Linked DNA regions of Mus musculus. The protein of the gene in region 3 purifies or fractionates together with the protein of the main gene of each other region. This does not show direct contact. Links are inferred from orthologs where the notes say so. Each region holds a gene or a part of one and is shown on either strand. Other genes may lie near its edges.

Region 1 (4,107 bases), on a different chromosome or scaffold from region 3:
TGTTGTAATTTCTATCAGGACAGAACTTGGTTTACAGAATTGATGTCAACAGTCTCATAGTGCAGCTAGAAGATTGCCACTAGCACTTAAGTGTGACCTTAGTAAGTTTTATCAATTCTGACAGTTTCATCCCTGTGAGAAAGGGATAGTTATTTATCTAAAAGGATGTGAGGATGAAACATTCGTAGCACCTGCTGCCTGAGGTATGTTTTCTATTACATAATGTATCAATGGAAAAGATTTAAAATTATAGTGTGTATTGGCACTGGATTGTCTTAGTGGGATTTAAGGTTCCCAACTAATGTCAGAGTTAGCATATAATTACGAAATTAGTTTCCTCCCTTCACACATAATACCCAATGTACTATAAAACATTTCCTCTTGAGCACATTTGGGGAGCTGGAGACAGGGTTTTTTCTTATGAAATCCCTGCGGTCCTGGAACTTGCTCTGTAGACCTGGTTAGCCTTGAACTCTGCCTCCTAAGTGTTCAGATTAAAGGCATGCGCCACCACCCCAGGCTCTGGAGCACATTTTACTAACACCGCTGACCAGATACCGACAGATCAATTTATCGCGTTGATTCTAGAAAGCGTTTCCACAAACACTGTTTTAGAGGATGGCCGAGCGTGCAGTTGTGCAGTCAGGACTTAACAGCTCTTAAAGCATGGTTGCAATGACCGGAAAAGGCGCGCAACCCAATTAGTTCAACTCCTCTTTTGGATTCCTTCTGCCACGCAGATTCAACCCTGGAACTCCGTTCCACATTAAACCGAATTGCCTTGATTCGTTACGAAGGGTGGAGGGACAGCTCTAGAAATCCAACAGTCAGGGACGAGCAGCCGTGCGGTCGCAACCTACCGGAGGCTACTGTGGCACCCCCCACCCCCCGGAAGTTTTTGAGGCTCCAGTTACTAGGTCTGGGAGTCACCTTGACCCTCCCAGAAAGGTGGGGAAAGTCCTGGCCGGAGACAGAATGAGTGAAACCAAAGACAGAGAACACTTTCGTGAGCAGAAGACGCCCTCACGTTTTCCTGTTCTCAGAGGTATCTAAAGACCGAGAGTTTAAGGGTGACAAGAGCAGGTGGCAGAACTCCGCCCCGTACTCGCTTCCCCACCTTCAGCGAGCACGCTGCACACTTTCCTTGAGATCCCGCCTCTCAGGCGCGCGCGAAGAGTTGCTGCGCAGTGCACGCTGGGAGTTGAAGTTCAGGAGTAGACAGCCATCCCGGGCTAATCAGTTGTGGCCTACAGGCCCCATGGTGCCGTGCGGCGCAGGCCGCTCCCGGATGTGTGCTTGGCGCCGGAAGAGAAGGCGGCCCCCCTCTCTCGGCCCGGCCATCTTGTGGGAAGAGCTGAAGCAGGCGCTTTTGGCTCGGCGCGGTCCGCTGCAATCCGTGGAGGAACGCGCCGCCGAGCCACCATCATGCCTGGGCACCTACAGGAAGGCTTCGGCTGCGTGGTCACCAACCGATTCGACCAGCTATTTGACGACGAATCGGACCCTTTCGAGGTACTGAAGGCAGCAGAGAACAAGAAAAAAGAAGCCGGCGGGGGCGGCGTTGGGGGCCCCGGGGCCAAGAGCGCGGCTCAGGCCGCGGCCCAGACCAACTCCAACGCGGCGGGCAAACAGTTGCGTAAAGAGTCCCAGAAAGACCGCAAGAACCCGCTGCCCCCCAGCGTCGGCGTGGCCGACAAAAAGGAGGAGACGCAGCCGCCGGTGGCGCTTAAGAAAGAAGGTAAAGCCGGGCGAGGCGGTGGGGAGCCCGGGCTGGCGGGCAGGACGGGGGCGTGCGCCGCCGCTTGCTCGTGCAGGCGGCGGGGCCGCAGAGCCCTCGGAGCCCCTTCACGGTGCGGGGAACGTGGCTGGTCCCAAGTCCACGCCGCTCTCTCGGTCGCTTGCTCGCTCGCAGGCTCGGCGGGAGCCTTCCTTCCCGCCTCGGGCGGACGGAGCGTGCTCCGAGAGGGCGGCCCGGGCGTTCCCGCCGATTCCTGCCGGGCGCTAGCCTCCTGGCTCTAGGCGCTCGGGAAGCAGCGCGGGCATTGCTTCCTGCCCGGCGGGCTCCTGGCTGCCGCTGCCTGCTGTGGGCTCCTGCCCTGCCATCTTGTCCCACAATGGCGCGGACCCTCAAGGAAAGGCCCGGGCTCAGAGTTTCCACTTGGGCTGCGTCTCCGTTTGGGGGTCCCTGTTAGAGTGGAGGGAGGGAGGAGTTGCTGTTTGGGTCCCACGTGTGTGTTTTGTGTTGTGCCCTTTCGCTCTTACGTTAGAAGAAGTTCCTGTAACTTACTGGCGAGAACTAAAGTGTTGGAGAGGAGAAGAATTTAGCCCCACTCATTTTAGAGGGAGTTCCGAATAAAAAACTGGTCATTAGTGGAACCCATCTCATGTCTCCATCTCTTCTTCCAACTAACTCCCTGGAGCCCCCAGGTCATAGGGCTTTGCTTGTTCTGGGCCTCGTGGGCGAAATGAGTGCCCAGCCTGTCATGTCCCGGCAGCAGAACTCAGGCTGCAGCTTTTCCTCCGCACGTGCGTAAAGCGTGGTCGGGTCTTCATTGGCGGCTAATGGTCTCTTCAAGGGCACTAGAAGTTTCATAGTTGTTTTGATTTTAGCATTCTTCTCCATTACTGGCTTATTGTGGATGAAAAGGCAAAGCAATTAGGGGCTAAAAAAGTGAAAAATCAATAGCGAGTACATATAGAATAACCTGTGAATCTTTAAAATTGGTATTATGTTAAAGTGCCTCTCAATGCCACGTGCTCATGAAAGGAATTGTTTCTCATTAGATTGTGTTAGGTTTGAAGTTTTTTGGGGGTGGTGGTGTCTTTCAATGAAGGCTTAGAGTAAAACATCCAGTTCCTAGTAGATTTATAAAAGGGAAGAGTTCTATTAATATATTTGGAAGCATAGTCTGGAGTGTTAGAAAACATCACTTGGGCAGAAGTACTGAGCGGATTAAGCTTCTTGACATTACATAGTTGAATAAGACATTTAATTTCTGTGTTAGGGACACTAGATAGTGTTATTTAAACTACTAAAATTTACCTCCTTTATGACTGTAATTCACAGAAGTACATGAATAAGTTGAGTAAATAAAACACATCACATAGATGAACTCAAAAAATGGTCAAAACATGAAGCATGATTTTAAATTATTCAATTTTCATCACAAAGCCAATTTATGATCTTGCCTGTAAACTAGCATAAGTCATCAATGGAGGACATTTTTATTTATAGCCAGGATTACGTTTGTCATTTACTTCAGAAAACTTTTTCACAATAGTAGTCAACCTTTTTTTTAGTTACGTCCAAGTCTTCCATGGGTTGTACTGGGTATTGAACTTAGAACCTTGTCCTTGCTGGGGAAAATTTTGCATTACACATCTCAAACCCTTAGATCACTCTTTAAAACCAGAGTTGATTTTAAATAAGGTTATATATACATATGGGGAAATTTTGAATAAAACTTCCAGTTAGTGCTGTGTGGTGGTGGTTGGTAGACTTGTAAACAAAGTACCTATCTGTAAGAGTGGAAACAATTGTTAACCTATGGTGTGTCCTGTGTCTCGGGAACACAATGCTGGAATGTAATGTTTTTCTACATAAATTTTGATGCATTTGTCTATTTGAAGAACTTGAATTGGCAAAATGTCATTAAAAGTAGACCAGGTTTTTTGTGTTTAGCAAAAAAAGAAAAGCAACTCTGGATATTAGTGCAGTTAAGAAACTCATGTATCTGGTAAGTACAGTAAAAGAACCTTGTATGCTTTTTAAAAAATTTTTTTTCAGTAGATGAATTTATATTTTGTGGTAAAAGTGGCCGAACCCAGCATTTTGCAAACTAAGTGAAAGTAGCTCTCACTGAGCTACACTCCCAACCACTTGATGAGTTTAGTAAGTTTTTTTCTGATTATGTAGGCCTCATACTGAATATTGGGTGGGGAAGCAAGCCATTGTTCCTTGGGTGTGTTTAGCTTGGTTATCATTACAAGTTCTGAGCTGGTTCTATAGCTCCACCCCAATACACTATACCTCTGATGAAATTTATGTAAATGCCACGGCATAAGGGCTACATTTAAGGCTTGCCCTGAGAATTTACAGAGACTGAG
Region 2 (4,211 bases), on a different chromosome or scaffold from region 3:
GGCAGACAGGTGTGGGTGACCTGACGGAAGAAGAACAGGTACCTTTGTCTTTACGACTACAGCCCCGCACTCAGGTTGTACTATGGCGGTTCTGAGAAGGCTTCACAGAAGTGAATCTTCCGGAAGGAGCTCAAGGAGGGGAGGGATGTAGCTTGCTGGATGGGGGTTCACAAGAGGTTGGTCCAGATGTGTGGGGCAGCATGAGAGGTGGCAGAATGGAAGAGAGAGACAAAGGGGCAAATGCAAAGTATCCTCAGCCAAGGGGGGGGGGGCAGCCCAGATTCCTACAGGGAGAGGTGCCAGCCCCAAACTCCACACGCCCCACAGGCATCCAGGGCCCAGTCCCAGACTCACCATCCAAAGGGACACCATTGTACTGTTTCATAGCCTTCAGGGCATCTGCTTTCCGTTCAAAGTGCACATCTGCTGTCCCTAAACTTCGTCCAGAGCGATCATAGTGCACAGCAGCTTTTTTCAATGTCCCAAATTCAGCAAAGAGTTCCTGGGAAGGGGTAAAAATTAGCAATTAAGCCAATTTCCTTCTTGTAGCTCAGCAACACTTGCTGTAAGTCCTTATGCTTTAGAGGTACTTGACTGACAGCCACCCAGGAAGAAGGCAAGGCAGTGGAGATTAAGAGCTGAGGGAAGGGGAGACAGCAACTGTCGCGAACAACTGGGTTACTGTCCACTGTGGGACAATGTAATTACACCATGCTGTAGATGAGGGAAGACACAAAGTCCTATCACAGGACAAAACTACAAAACTCTCTCTCAGCAGGGGTACTTTCAACTTGACTAACTGCGTTTCACTAAATACCAGAGGCCAATAGTAAAACTGTCCATTGAGCAGACAACGCAAAGGGCCCAGTATTTTGGGGAACTGTGACACAGCCCCTACTGCAAAGGCAGGTTCTAGCTCACCTTCCCCTTTCCTCCTACTGCCTGCTGCTGCCAAGTCTGAAGTGAAATGCAGCATGGAACCTGTCCTGGCTGGGAGTTGGAGAGGGAACCCACAGAGTAAGGCACTTCAGCTGCAGGCACACAGTGGGGAGTACAGCTAGCTAAAGCAGTTTCCAGTGGATGCCAGAAACCACCTTTAAAAAAAAGTGTTGAGACAGGCTGGAGAGATGGTTCAGGGGTTAAGAACACTGGCTGCTCTCTTTCAGAGGACCTGAGTTCAATTCCCAGCAACCAATGTGACTCACAACTATCTATAATGGGATCTGATGCCCTCTTCAGGTGTCTCTGAAGAGAGTGACACTGTACTCAAATCCATAAAAATAAATAAATAAATCTTAAAAAAAAAAGAAGTGTTGAGACACTGTGAGTGCTCACCAGCCTTGTTCTTTTCTCCCATGGGGAGGTCAAACAGCTGGGCTCTGGGGAACGGTACCCAGAAAGGCCCAGCACACCTGACTCAGTTCTGGCTATATCAAAGCTAATTCCCAAAATTATGCCTTGTAACCAGAGAACTCTAAATGCCTCTGAGGTCCAGTTTATAAAGAAATTTAAAAAGACACAAAATCCAAGAAGGGAGGGGAAGAGAAAAAAAATATTTCGAAGGCATGGAGAACCATGACCCAGGTAAGACCCAGGAAAGATCGCCAGTTAAGATCCAGCACAGAGACGCAGGCTGGAAGATACTCTCAGCCACCTTTCTCAGCATCTGGGAGATGCTGGACTTCCTTCTCCTATCAGTTCACCATATCGAGCATAAATCTGAGAAGCAAGCACCTTTCGGTCATGCTGGGACCGGAGTTGTGGCCAGTCTGTGCAGGTTAGAAACTGTAAGCTCTGGCACAGGGCAGGCGCTCACAGTTTGGACAGCAGACAGGACTCATTTTTAGGGGGGCGCGCGCACACACACACATACACACACAGTGTGTGACATCTTCCTGCAGCCTGGCTTATGGGGTCGTGCTCAAACCCTACTTTTTCTGAGGCCAAGGCTCTCAGGGTGACAGTGGCTGGCTCTGGGCAGCCTAGGGGAGGGCAGGTTCCAATCTGTAAAGGATCCTGGAGCCCACGTCCGCGTGGGACGAGGAAAGCGGAGAGCTCCCGTCTCCTACCTGAATATCAGCATCTGACACTCCGAAGTCCAGGTTGGACACCAGCAGCTTCCCGCCGGTCTCCACGCCGGCTCCACCCCCGAAGCCGCTGTCGAAGAGGTCGTGCTGCCATTTGTCGGGAAGTTGTTTCGGCTGGAGAGAAACCGTAAGCACAGAGACACTCGTGAGACTCGTCCCGGGAGCCCGCGACACCTCGGCGACGCTCTCCCGTCGGCCCCGCGGCCAAGGTCGAGGAGCCCCGAGAGTCCCCCAGCCCCGCCGCTCCGCTACGGACACCCAAGTTCTCTCGCAGCGGCCCCCGCCGCCACGAGGCTGGACCACGACCGGACAAAGCGTCCCGGAAGATCCTGGCCTCGGGACGGCCTCGCCCCCGCCCACCCCTCGGCCGCGGTCCCGCGCGGGACGCTCACCCGGTCCCGGCCGGCCCGGGCGCACCCTCCCCGGCCCGCGCCGCAGGTCCCCGCACTCACTCTGCTGTACGGCGCCGGCCGGTTCCTGCCGCCGCCTGCGGCGCCGCGGGCGATGGCGGGCCGGTTCCTCATAGGCCCGCCGCCTCGATTCACCCGCGCGGCGGCCTGCACTGCGCCGCCGCGGCCGCCCTGGGAGCCGGCCCTGCCGCGACCCCGGCCCCCGCCGCGGCCTCCTCGCTGGCTCCGGTTCAGCTTAATGATGTCGTCCAAAGACATGTCCATTTTGTCGGCCATGGCGGGCGCGGATTCGGGCCTCGGATCGAGCCCGCGCGTCAGCACGCCGCGGCGTCACTTCCGGCGCCTCCCCCTGCCTTCCGGCGTCGCGGGCCCGAAGCGAGCGGCGATTGGTCTGGGCGCGCGCGATTCCGCAGAGCGCCTGCGTACGGCTCGCCGCGGTGGCTGGCGCTACTTCGGAGGAGCCCGACGCGGCGCGGTCGTTTTTATACATTCCCGCGCGGAGGCAACGGAAGGGCGGGGCGCCTCGTGATTAGGCCGCGGAGGTGCGAGGGCGAGCAGGGGGCGGGGCCTGCGGGCGCCTCCCTGGGAGGCCGGAAGATCCTCGGGCGTCGCCTGGGTGCAGCGCAGTGTGCGCGTCCCGCGTCCCTCCTCACCGTGCGATCGTGGGGGTCCCGGCCGGTCCGTGGGTCCGACTTGGTTGTTTTTGCTCGAAGGCTCGGTCTCCTGACGAGCTGGCGTCCTCACCCCTGCTTTAACTTCGCGGATTAGTGACAGTCACTCTTTCCATATCTTTAAAAGCGAGGCCCTGGTTAGTGAAAACCAATGTTTTGCGTGGATGCGGAGGTTTTGTTTTTGTTTTTTTGTTTGTTTTCGTTTCCTGTTTGGCTGATCTGCTTCTGCCCCGGGATTAGAGGCGTGTGCCACCGTGCCAGACTACATGAGTGCAGATCTTTAAAGGCATCCTTAAAGGTGGCAAAATAAACTCGTGCCATTAATCCCACAGGCTCTCCTTGCCGTCTTTAAAGACAAACACGTGCCTTTTTCTTTCTTTTTGGTCGGGACGCACGGAATTTTGGAAGATGCCGTTCTTGACGAGTGCAGCACTTGCCGCAGCTCCATGACTTTGAGCTTAGGTGCTTTCGTATTCCGTACTAACTCCAGGTCATCCTCTTCCCTCAGGTCACAGGCTCTGTTGTCATGAAGGTGAAAATTAAATGTTGGAATGGTGTGGCCACTTGGCTCTGGGTAGCCAATGATGAGAACTGCGGCATCTGCAGGATGGCGTTTAATGGCTGCTGTCCAGACTGTAAGTGTCTTCCTATGCGCTCTCAGAACTTTAGCCTACTCCACCAGCCTAAAAATCCCTAGGTTTCCCAGCACTGGGTAGGCAGAGACTGGAGGATCTCTGAGTTTGAGTTTAGCCTGGTCAACAGGACAAGTTACCTAACCCTAACCGAAACCCCACCGGACAGTGGTGTTGCACGCCTTTAATCCCAGCACTCTGGAGGCAGAGGCAAGTGAATCTCTGAGTTCAAGGCCAGCCTGATCTACAGAGGGAGTTCCAGGACAGCCAGGGCTACACAGAGAAACCCTGTTTTGAAAAAAAAACAAAAAACAAAACAAAACAAAAACAAAAAGCCAAACAGTGCAAGTTCCAGGATAACCAGGGCTACAAAGAAAAGCCCTGACTTGATAAAAGACCAGGTAAAACAAA
Region 3 (4,172 bases):
GGGTTCCCCAGAGTCTCCTCAACCTGCAAAAAGCCCCTCATCATACCAGGACAACCCTCCAGCCCCCTCCAGCATCTTTCTTCCCCAGGTCATGTTTCCACTTCCAGGACCCACCCAGAGCACCATCCAGGGAGCAGCCGCCTCGCCTACCATCTCTCCAGGCTCTATGGCCTGTCTCTAGCTCAGCCCACAGCTGGGGAGGGAGGGAGAGAGGGCAGAGCCAGGGCAGACACATGGAAGGGCAGGGGAGGAGGGCTGGAGATGGAGTTAAGGAAGCAGCCATGGTTCTGGGGAAGCCAGCTGGGGCCAGGAAGGGCTCTGTCCTAAGGGGTTAGGGGGCACAGCAGAGGAAACTGGTTGGAAGCAAGAGGACGGTTAGACCTCTTGGGGAGCCAGATGTATAGCAAGTAAGCTTATGTGGAAGTGGGCTGGGTGGGGGTCTCACAAAAGGATATTTACTTCTTCAAGAGGCGGCTGGAGGCTCATCCCATTAGCCAAGGTGGCTACAAAATTCTAGGAGAGAGTAACAGGGAAAAAGGATTAGCTACGGGGTGATTGGGGAAGGCCTTTGGGGCGGTGAGTGGTTTGTAGGTTGGCTTTGCCTGGGCAAGGAAGGGAGTGTGTGTGTGAGCAGGGACAAGCAATGAGGGAGGCTGTGATCGGGTAGAGAAGGATAGGAAGGAGGGAAGGGAAGGTCTCCTGTCCCAGCTGTTGGCTGAAGAGATGGTGGCCTGCCCCCTGTTGTCCTTCTTTGGTCCAATGACTGGCCATACACACCTACCCCATCTAGGCCACAAGACCCAATACTTGCCAGGGCACATGGGCACTGCCCAGCTGTTGCTCCCCTTCACTACCTAATCCCCCCCCAAGAGATTAGGTGACATTTCCTGACACACATGCCAGGCTGAAGTGCCATGAATAAACTGGAGGGAGGGGTAGGAAGGGAAGGGTGCTGTCGCCTGTCCTAAGAGGATTCCATTAGAGAGACGTAGCACACCACCAAAGCAGCAGGCATACCACCAACTCACACCCACACCAACACACAGAGGCAACCTGACCTCTTTGGTTTCCCTGCCTTTCTGAGGAGGTATCATATATGCCTTGGAAAACTGGGTCCAGCCCATTCCCCACCTCACCTGGGTTCCCACACTGGAACAGCCTTTTCTTTTCTCTGTCCACAAGTCCCAGGGCCCAGGGTCACCATAGTGACCCTGTAGGCTAACTGATCCCTATTTATGGCAGATTTCCCAGCAACTGACCTTCCCCTCCAGAGAACTTGAAGAGGTATGGGCCCCATCAAATTAAATACCATCAATGACTGCCACCCAAGGCTTCCAGAGAAACGTCACAACCTAACCAAGCTCTCAGCTCCCCACAGCCTGGGAGGTGAGATTCCCACGTGGGCCCCACTTTTTCAATAGTACAGACGGACACCAGAAGGTTGACAAATGACTGAAGAGAGCTTGAAACCCATGTCTAGGACCTGCCTTACAAGCCTGATGATGAGCTACTCAGAAGTCAAAAGAAAATGGCAAGTTCAAGGCCATACTCAGCTACAGGGTGAGTTCAAGGCCAAGCACATTTTTTTTTTTGAGGCAGGGTTTCTCTGTGTAGCCCTGGCTGTCCTGGAACTCACTCTGTAGACCAGGCTGTCCTTCAACTCAGAAATCTGCCTGCCTCTGCCTCCCAAGTGCTGGGATCAAAGGCGTGCGCCACCACCGCCAGGCTCAGGCACATTTGTTTAATTAAACTAAGTAAAAAGTAGACTGAGGAATACAGCTTAGGATCGAACAATCAACGATAAGCAGGTAAGCAAGGCAGATGCTAGAATTTCATTCTGTTTTGGGGGGAAATTAGGCAAAAAGGCGGAAATGTTCAAAAAGGGGTCCCTTGCCACATTCAAGTTGGTAAAAATGGAGCTCTGTGGAGGTTAAGGCCCATGGCCATCCGAACTCCTTTATCCCCCACCACTGACCTCTGACTATCCATCCACCCGAGGGCCCTCCCATGAAGGGGTGGGCTTGGGCCACGCCCCATGAAAAAAGACGCCCCTCTCACACGCCCATAGTGACCACGAGGGGGTGCCCGGCGACGGATCCGGATCTCCTCGGATGAGATTCCCCACCATCTCCTTAAAGAGAGGTCACAGGGCTATGCCCATCCCCCCCCCCCCCCCCCCCCGCTGCACAAGGCTAACACAGAGTTGGGGAAAGGGAGGCTGGGGACTGATGTTCTCAGGCCCCACGCGGGTGCAAAGAGCCCGGGCTGCATGGACATCCACAGCCGAGCCAGGGAGAGCGGGTGGCAACCCCTGGACCCCTTGAGTGCAGCCCAGGTCATCGGGCTGGGGGCGGGGCCTTTGTCCTGCACGTGGAGCCCACGGGGCCCCTCGAGGCGGCACACCCCCCTCCCCACGCTACTCTGCGAGACCACGTGCGGCCCGGCTGGAAGCGCCCCCGGCCCGCGACCACGTGCGACAGTCCTCGGCTCGGCTGCGGGTCCCAAAGCACCGAAAGCCGAGATCTCTCCCGTCACGATCGAACACATCCCCCGATGCGGACCAACGCGAAGCCAGGCACATCAAAAGGCCCCGTCCCCACAGTTCAGGCCGTGGGCCACCCGTCTCGCGCCGCCCCCGGGCCTAAAGAGCCCAGCTACTCACCTCCATGATGCAGTTCGCGGCCTCGGCTGCCGCCATCTTCACCCGAGTCCTCCGGCCTCCGAGACCCCCCCCTCTCTCTTTTCTCCCCCCGGCTCGACCGGGGACCGCCTTTTACCAGAGGGTCCTCAGCCCAGCCCCCGATACCCCGCCATAAGTTCTCATTGGTCTGTAAAGCCGTCCATCTGAGAGCTTCATATTTCAATTGGATGACAGACACGCCTATCAAACATAAAGTGCCCGCCCCCCTAGCGTTTAAAGGCCCGCCCCCTCCTGTCCGCTAGGAAGAGAACAACTGCCTGTCTGTCTCACCCAGCACGTGTGACGATTGGGTAAAATTCACCAGATCTTCCCGCCCCTTTCTGGCCAGCTCCGCCCTGGAGCTTCCCGGCGGGCTCCGCGCTAAGCGGACGTCTAGAAACTGACTTGTCTATCATTAAGCTAATCCCCTCCTCCCTCGTTGATATTGGCTGAGCCAAAGGTGACGTTCGCGGCTCTAACGCCACCCTGTTTAAGCGACAGGCCTAGAAGAAGAGGGGCCATTGGCCCATAAGGAAGCAGGCAGAGCTTTGGGCAGCAGCAACTGGCTCTTAGGAATGTCAATCATCACCATTCTGTGGATTCCTCTCCCCCATACCCCCTACCCCGGTCTTGGATGTTTTCTGGAGGAACTGGGGAGCGTGGGCGCGTTAAGTTATAGGGAAAACCCCAATTCCTGAGACGTGGATGAGGGCGCATTCTAGTCTGTGATTCCGAAACCAGCCATGATTCGCTGTGAGCTTCCCACCCCTGTGCTGGAAGGCGCCAAGTTCTGAACACCTGTGGCCTCCTCGTGGCCTCCAGGTCCTCTGCGGGAAACACCCAGCGTCCTTTGTCTGACCAACTCCTACACGTCAATCACCGGCAATTCGGACGCCACCTCTTCCAGGAAATTTCCCTGAATCTGCAGAAAGTTACTCCTTCCCTGAGGATGGATGTCAGTTGCTGGATTCGTGAACCTTCCCTTTGCCTTCAGTCCCACCAGTCTATGGTCCAAACATAAGATCCTTTAAACTCCCGTATGAGCCCTCCAGTGGGAGCTTCCGCATAAGGTACGCGAGCACATCTGACCTGTTTCCTTCCAACGCCTAACACTTACTTTGTATAGTGTGAGCATGCATTCGTGTGTGCCTTGCACGTATGGAGGTCACAAAGCAATGAACAGGAGTCCTTTCTCCCACGATGTGAGTGTAGGGAATTGAACACAAGTCGTCAGGCTTAGCGGCAAGCACCTTTACCCTCTGCTGCAGACCAACACTTACAATCTGGTAGATCTTTTGTTTGACTGATTCTCACTGTGCCTTGGGCCTGGAACTCGCCGTGGAGATCAACCTGTTTTTGTCTCCCAAGTGCTGAGATTTAAGGCCTATGAAAATCTTGCCCAGCCAATATGGTCCCCCTTTTTTTCCCGTTTTTCCTCGATAGTGTTTCTCTGTGTATCCTTGGCTGTCCTCTTACTCATAGATCCGCCTGC

What was found. The genes of interacting proteins can lie anywhere in the genome.
Region 1: the proteins of Prmt1 (region 3) and Serbp1 purify together in Homo sapiens (affinity purification with mass spectrometry; 3 studies listed by BioGRID and IntAct, with this or other methods). This does not show direct contact. The link is inferred for Mus musculus from reciprocal best matches to the Homo sapiens genes PRMT1 and SERBP1.
Region 2: the proteins of Prmt1 (region 3) and Alyref purify together in Homo sapiens (affinity purification with mass spectrometry; 3 studies listed by BioGRID and IntAct, with this or other methods). This does not show direct contact. The link is inferred for Mus musculus from reciprocal best matches to the Homo sapiens genes PRMT1 and ALYREF.

The regions. Positions count from the first base shown.
Region 1 is NC_000072.6:67,265,672-67,269,778, forward strand, and holds the start of Serbp1 (plasminogen activator inhibitor 1 RNA-binding protein), read left to right. Parts: upstream 1-1,307; 5' UTR 1,308-1,425; coding exon 1,426-1,738; intron 1,739-4,107. UniProt on the Homo sapiens protein: Ribosome-binding protein that promotes ribosome hibernation, a process during which ribosomes are stabilized in an inactive state and preserved from proteasomal degradation.
Region 2 is NC_000077.6:120,595,566-120,599,776, forward strand, and holds the start of Alyref (THO complex subunit 4), read right to left. Parts: upstream 2,801-4,211; 5' UTR 2,774-2,800; coding exon 2,540-2,773; intron 2,202-2,539; coding exon 2,070-2,201; intron 503-2,069; coding exon 355-502; intron 156-354; exon of another isoform or gene 43-155; intron 1-42. Other genes in the region: Anapc11 (anaphase-promoting complex subunit 11), read left to right, coding at 3,695-3,803. UniProt on the Homo sapiens protein: Functions as an mRNA export adapter; component of the transcription/export (TREX) complex which is thought to couple mRNA transcription, processing and nuclear export, and specifically associates with spliced mRNA and not with unspliced pre-mRNA.
Region 3 is NC_000073.6:44,983,621-44,987,792, forward strand, and holds the start of Prmt1 (protein arginine N-methyltransferase 1), read right to left. Parts: upstream 2,801-4,172; 5' UTR 2,699-2,800; coding exon 2,663-2,698; intron 514-2,662; coding exon of another isoform or gene 460-513; exon of another isoform or gene 154-459; coding exon of another isoform or gene 115-153; intron 1-114. UniProt on the Homo sapiens protein: Arginine methyltransferase that methylates (mono and asymmetric dimethylation) the guanidino nitrogens of arginyl residues present in proteins such as ESR1, histone H2, H3 and H4, FMR1, ILF3, HNRNPA1, HNRNPD, NFATC2IP, SUPT5H, TAF15, EWS, HABP4, SERBP1, RBM15, FOXO1, CHTOP, MAP3K5/ASK1, MICU1 and NPRL2.